Callithrix jacchus: one gene and its partner. The protein of the gene in region 2 purifies or fractionates together with the protein of the main gene of each other region. This does not show direct contact. Links are inferred from orthologs where the notes say so. Each region holds a gene or a part of one and is shown on either strand. Other genes may lie near its edges.

Evidence for each region. The genes of interacting proteins can lie anywhere in the genome.
Region 1: the proteins of SFN (region 2) and GAN purify together in Homo sapiens (affinity purification with mass spectrometry; 3 studies listed by BioGRID and IntAct, with this or other methods). This does not show direct contact. The link is inferred for Callithrix jacchus from reciprocal best matches to the Homo sapiens genes SFN and GAN.

What each region holds. Positions count from the first base shown.
Region 1 is NC_133521.1:38,906,732-38,910,384, reverse strand, and holds part of GAN (gigaxonin), read right to left. Parts: intron 1,431-3,653; coding exon 1,080-1,430; intron 1-1,079. UniProt on the Homo sapiens protein: Probable cytoskeletal component that directly or indirectly plays an important role in neurofilament architecture.
Region 2 is NC_133508.1:63,511,688-63,515,039, reverse strand, and holds SFN (14-3-3 protein sigma), read right to left. Parts: upstream 1,903-3,352; 5' UTR 1,840-1,902; coding exon 1,093-1,839; 3' UTR 590-1,092; downstream 1-589. UniProt on the Homo sapiens protein: Adapter protein implicated in the regulation of a large spectrum of both general and specialized signaling pathways. Binds to a large number of partners, usually by recognition of a phosphoserine or phosphothreonine motif.

The DNA of each region.
Region 1 (3,653 bases), on a different chromosome or scaffold from region 2:
AAAACTTCTAAGACAATCATCAAGATTTAATAGTCAAATTTTAATTTATGAAAACAACAATACAACTATACATTTTGAGAGCCACTCTCTAACCCTAATATATTTCTCATTTTGAAAACAGTAATTGAAGCTAGTGTCTTATTTATATTAATCAGACTTAAAAATAAAGTCCTGGCTGGGCACAGTGGCTCACGCTTGTAATCCCAGCACTTTGGAAATCTGGAGTGGGGGACTGCTTGAGCCCAGGAGTTTGAGACCAGCCTGGACAACACAGCAAGACTCTGTCTCGACAAAAATCAAATGATTAGCTAGGTATGGTGGCACACACCTGTGGTCCTAGCTACTCGGGAGGCTGAGGTGGGAAGATCACTTGAGCCAGGAAGGTTGGAGCTGCAGTGAGCTATAATCGTGTCACTTTGGCCACTGAGAGACAGATTGAGACCCTCTACCCACCAAAACCCTGGAGTCTGTGATTTTGCTCCCTTCTCCAAGGTATTCACAATTTGTATTGAGACGCTGATATTCTCTAAGGCCCTCTTCCCAGGCTGTCACTCCCAGAACCTTCCCTCTTGAAACTGCACTGCCACACAAACTCCAGAGCTTGCCTGCTTTCTCCCAAGAGGTGTCAATGACATCCGAAGCTCCTCAGGCCCATGGCCCTCACCTCTCTGCCAGAGTTCCACGTGCCACCCCTCGCCTGCTGCAGGCACCTGAGGCCTGGCAGGGGCTAGCCTAGTGATGCAGTCGGTCAGGATGCTGCCAGCAAGGGTGGGGATGATGCGGTTCTATAATCTCCAGCTTAAGCTTGAAATGCATTTTCCCGTTAAAAACAACATACAAAGGACATTCTGCTCCTTCCAAGGGTCAGTGTTTTCACTGATATATTGTGTGGCATGGGGTTTTGCAGACTGGTCTGAAAAGCCAACTGCTTTCATGATATACAGGAACATCATTTACAAGTATCTTTCAGATCACTGTTCCATAAGTCTTTCGTGTTGAAAAGGAAAAATAAAACAATTATAATTTGAATTAAAAAGAAAGAAAAAGGCAAACCGGACCGTGTTATAAATGACAGGTACCTTTCTTATTTCTGTATCATGTGCTATCCATCGAATTACTGCTTCAAAGACATATCTTTCATTGCCAACGTTTAACTTCTCAAGAGAAATCACTTCTTTAAGCTTTTGAGGACTCAGTTCTAAGAATTCTTCTGTGCTGCTGACGTCTCGGAAATGAGTCTCCAGGTATTCTGTGGCAAGGTAATGAACGTGATGCAGACAGTAATGTAGTGCAAAGTCACGGATACCGATGCAGTTCTCAGCGGCAATGCAACCTTCCAAAAACTCACAGCACAGGGTTTTAAGGTCTGTCAGGAGTAGCAGGTCTGCTGCCTGAACAACATCTTGGATTGTTTCTTCATTTAGCCTGATCTAAAAAAAGTAGCATAATTATTTTATATTTGAATGTGTACATTTAAAACCCAAACCACTAATCTTATTTTTGAGTTTGGGCCACATGAAATGTCCATGTATTTTAGATCAAAGATGATAGAATATTGGCAATTTCATATGGTTTAACCCAGCATTTTTTTCTCCCCCAAGAGTTGAAGGGCATCAACCTAAGCCAATGTGTGCTTAGTTAACTTTTCCCAGCTCTGCCCTTGCTGTACCAATGTCAACCACCACTAACCCTTCTAGGGTGACCTGTCCACGTTGCTCACTTCTGTAACTCAGAGAAGAACCTTAATGACTGAAATGCCTGGGAAATGGAAAGCTCTGCCTGCTTTTGTATAATCAAGGTGATTAAGTACCAACATCAGAACTGATGAAAATCTCGCCTCCCAATCTATGAAGAAAACCCTTCTGCTAACTGAAATGCCAACCTGAATGCCAACCCCTTGAAGGACAGGGGTTTACAGTGATTCAAAAGACTCATTCTGCACCCCAACCGTACACAGTGCAGTTTGGTTCACAGATAAATACATTTAGTTCTCAAAACTACGTTTAGAATAAATACCTACTACAAGGGTTTTTTTCCTCATTATGAACATCTACTTTTCCTTAATTTTCTTCAATTTTCTGACTAATGCTTCTTTCGCCACCCACTTCACAGTTTTCCCAAGCATCAGGAAAGAAACCGGTCTCTCTAATTCTGCCACAATCCCAAGTGGACTCCCCTAAAGCATGGGTACTTCACCCACATTAGCAAATGCAAGGGAGACTTCATGAAGAGTACAGCAAGAAACATTTTTACAGTTTACATTTTTTGTACCAGATTTTTAAAAAAAGTGTAATTGCCAATCATCCTAGAAACTGAGCAACAAAAATGTGGAAAGTAGTATGTTGAGTGAGCTACAGGAGGGGAAAATGTTCCATTTATATGACATTACATTTAGCCACAAGACAGCAGGCAGCTGTAGACTCTTCAAATACAGGCACGTGAAAAAACACTCAATCGCATTTCAATAAAACAAAACTGCCAATTCAGGAGTTTGTTATAACTTACGCTGCAACTATCGTTGCAAATTTAAATTGGGAACAAATCACAGAAGTCAATCTGTAAATAAGATTTCAAGTTTCAAATCCAAGCCTGAACACGAATAGGCTCTTTCTGGCTTATCATTTGTTATACTAATAACTGCTGCTGGATTGACCTTATAAGTTAGATCAGAGATTCGTCTTATGTCTGGTTTTGTGATGCTATGAAGTATCTCCAGTATTTTAAGTCTGTCCCCAGATTAATTTAAATTCATTTATTTTTAAGAATCTTACATGTACACACCCACCCCCTAGTGTTGAGATCAGATAGAAAGCATGAAATCAAACCAAAAACTTCAAAAAGGATGAGAATCACTGAGTTAACTCTAGACAAAATGAATATATTTAGACCAAGAAAGCAATACATTCAGAACACTCAGCAAATATGTAGAAGAAACCGCCCCTACAGAAAGGAAAGGGAAAACAAGAGGGATGAAGAAGGAATAAAGGACAGAGTAGGGACCAAGATCTCAGAAAGAATAAAGATGAAATGCATTCTCACACAGCCAAAGGTAAGATGCACTGACCTCTTCCTTCTGTTTAAAAAAAGCTAGTCCTGATTCATATGGAAGATTTTTCTTGAGTCCTCTTGCTATGCTTGAAATCACATCATGGGGAATGGGGTGTCGGAGGAGGGCAGAGGGAAAGAAGTCTAATCACTTATCATTTTCCTCCCTGGATATCACAAAGTCTCTAGAAGTTCAAGTGGATGTGGAGAGGAAAGGGATATCAGAAAGAGAGAGTGGGGGTGGGGTAGGGCAGGGACATGGGTACTGAGGCAACAGGACCAGGGCATCGTGAATAAGGTGCTTGTCATTTGTGTCACTCCTCTTTCTCTGGCAATGATCTACAAGGAACTCTCTATTTCGACCAAACAATCCACAATGCCCCCCAGCATTTCCTATTTGCATGCTATGGAGAAAAAAACAAGTTTTGTATCCCCACTTGTGCGGTTACAAAGCAAGACTGGATCGGGATTCCAAAGCAAAATCCAAAAAGACAGCAGTCAGGGCAGCGTCCCATGTTCTTTAGTATCTCATACGAGAAGGTGGAGCTCAGAATGGTAACAATAAACTGGGATTTGCATGTAAGACCTTACTTTATCTGCTTCTCTTT
Region 2 (3,352 bases):
GAGGCGGCGAGCTCGGCAGGCAGTGCTCCCCGCAGCCCTTCTCACCCAGGTTGTCCTTCCTCCCCGCCAGTCGGTTTCCTTTTGTCTGCATCTCCGAACTCTGTGGGACACGACTCTCTCCTGAGATCTGGGGTTTTAGGGTTGCGCTATACCTCTGCCTCACTCAGATGGTATTCCCCTCCGCTGAGATCGGAGCCCGTGATGAGACTGTGACCTGCTTGCAAATCGGGTGCTCAGTGCCGCTCGCTACTGCGGCGCTGTCCTTAGATCTCACGCCGGAGACTTCACTGTTTCCTGCCCCGCCCCACCTGAGCTCGTCAACCTCGCGGCTCCCACTCACCTCCCCTCAGCCCGGCAGAGGAGCCTTGGCGCCTCCTGTGGGTTCACCGGCCCCTTCCGGGCCCGTCCAGTGTGGGGCCTCCCTGAAGGACAGAGCTGGACCCCGGCCTCACCTGGACTCAAAGTCTTGCGTGCGGGTCACTGAGCACCCAGGGAGGTCAGGGTCCTAACTCAGGTCCAAGTTCAGGGTCTCTAAATCAGATTCCAGTCCCACTCCCAGCCCATCGCCAAGAACTGGAAGAGACAGGAGGAGTGTTACAGGGGAACTTTATTGAGAGGAAACATGATCACACCCAGCCGACATGCTTTCCCTCAATCTCGATCTTGCACTGGCAAGCGCACGCACACACACACACACACACACACACACACACACACAATCTCTAGCCCCTACCACTGTGCAGTTCTCAGGCACAAGGCGGGACACTTACTCCTCAATTCCTAACATCAGGCAGCAGGGGCAGGAGGGAGGCAAGATCGGGGAGAAGTAGCCTGGTCGTGGGGTCGGCAGGAAGCGGGTGCAGAGAGCAGGGGTGGGGCATGACCAGTGATTAGGTGTGCTCAACAGCTGCGAGAAGAGTGGGATCCCCAGCCCCAGGTGGCCTCGGCTCTGCCAGTCCCTTTCCATGGAACCTTTTGGAGCAAGAACAGCGCCTGGGGGAGAAGGGTGGGGCCTCTCACCCCATACTAGTCCTCTTGGCAGGGTGGGGTACTGGAGGGGGCAGGGCAGGGCCGGCTGGTGGCGGGCAACACTCAGCTCTGGGGCTCCTGGGGCGCCTCGCCCCCCTCTTCCCCGGCGTTGTCAGCCGTCCACAGGGTCAGGTTGTCTCGCAGCAGCTGCATGATGAGGGTGCTGTCTTTGTAGGAGTCCTCGCTGAGGGTGTGCAGATCAGCCATGGCCTCGTCGAAGGTGGTCTTGGCCAGCGAGATGGCCTCCTCGGGGCTGTTGGCGATCTCGTAGTGGAAGACGGAAAAGTTCAGGGCCAGGCCCAGGCGGATGGGGTTGGTGGGCGGCATCTCCTTCTTGCTGATGTCCATGGCCTCCTGGTAGGCTGACCGGGCCGAGTCAATGATGCGCTTCTTGTCGTCACCGGTGGCCACCTCAGCCAGGTAGCGGTAGTAGTCGCCCTTCATCTTCAGGTAGAAGACCCGGCTCTCGGCGTCCCCAGACTCCTGGATGAGGTGTCTGTCCAGCAGGCCCAGCACAGTGTCGCACACGCCCCGGAGCTCAGTCTCCACCTTCTCTCGGTACTCATGCACCTCGGGGCCCTTCTCCTCCGAGCCCTCCTCATTGCTTTTCTGCTCAATGCTGGACAGGACCCTCCAGGCAGCCCTCTGGCCACCCACCACGTTCTTGTAGGCCACAGAGAGCAGGTTTCGCTCTTCGCAGGAGAGCTCCTCGCCCTTCTCCACGGCGCCCTTCATGAAGGCTGCCATGTCCTCATAGCGTTCGGCCTGCTCTGCCAGCTTGGCCTTCTGGATCAGACTGGCTCTCTCCATGGCTCTGGGAACAGACAGGAGGGCGGCGGGTAACTGCTGCCTGGGACCAATCCCGGACTCTGTGCCTCTCCTGCTTTCGGCCTGCCTTTTGGCTGGGTGGCCAGGCCCTGAGAAGGGTGGGGAGGAGCAGGGGGCAGGACCAGGGCCCAAGACCTGCCTCCCTCTCCTCTCCTCCCCACACCCTTTCCGGCTCTGCATGAAAGGTAAAAGGGTTGGGATGTGGGAGTGAGTCATCAGGACAGTCAGCAGGAGAAATCTGGGCGTTGGCCCCACCTGCACAGGTGCCTTTCTGGGCTCCACGCTGCCCCCTCTTGTTCAGGACTGGCATTACATGACTGCCCACATCAGGAAGCTGCCTGGCTTCTCATATCAGATCCTCTTTCACAGTGCCCTTCCAGGGGCTAAGGATGGCTTTAGCCCCTGGCTGCTTCAGCCTTGATAGAGCTCATAAAGGTTCAGGAGGATGGGGTTCCTAATCCGGAGAGGTAACTTCCCCCGCTTGGTTCAGGGGAGAATAATTCATGTATAGGTAGGGCTATACAGTTTCTCAAGCACTTTTATATTCATGATCAACTTTAATCCCCTCCATGTCTCTGTGACATACACAGGACCATAGAGATGGGTACACTAAGTTTCAGAGAGGGGTGAGATTTGCTCAAAGTCACATAGCCACCAATTCCCTGAAACTCTTTTCTGCACCCTACCTCCTTTAGATTTTCTCCCATGAGGCCTCTGACCTATGAGCTCCAGGCTGTGTTTGGAAATGAGATCCAGGCTGCTTCCTCAGTCTACCTGAAGACAGTTCCATCCCCCAGATGGGTCCCCTCTGAGCTCCCAGAATGCACAGGTGGCAGCTTTCGGAGTGCCACTTAATAAAGTGTTTAACAAGCAGCCTCTGACGCTCCAGCCCAGCCTTTGTAATTAGTCACCCAGTAGGTTTGTTGAACACATTTCCCATCACTACACAATTTTCCCTTTCAAGTTGGTGGCCTGTTGCCACTTGTTTGAGGACTTACCCTCTGGCCCTCCATGCCAGGTCACCTGCCCTCTCCAAGCCATATGCCATCAGGTACCAGCGGGGCTTCCAGAGGGTGGGGTCCAGCTCCCCAGCTGTCCCACTTTCCTGCCTGACTCAGACTGCCCTCTTGTCTGAGGCTGGGAAGCAGTCCAGTTTGATCCCCCAGGGGGGACGCTAGCAACCTGGGGAGGGAGAGGACTGAGGAAGGTAGGTGGCAGTGACACATATCATTCTGTTTTATGGGGCAGCAATCCCAGCTACGTGATGCCTCCCCCAGCCTGTCTCAGAAGTTTCCCTGTTCCTTCTCTTTTTTTTTGAGAAGGAGTCTCGCTCTGTCGCCCAGGCTGGAGTGCGGTGGCAAAATCTTGGCTCCCTGCAACCTCCACCCCTCCCAGTTCAAGCAATTCTTCTGCCCCAGCCTCCCGAGGAGCTGGGATTACAGGCACACCACCATGCCCAGCTAATTTTTTGTATTTTTAGTAAAGGCAGGGTTCC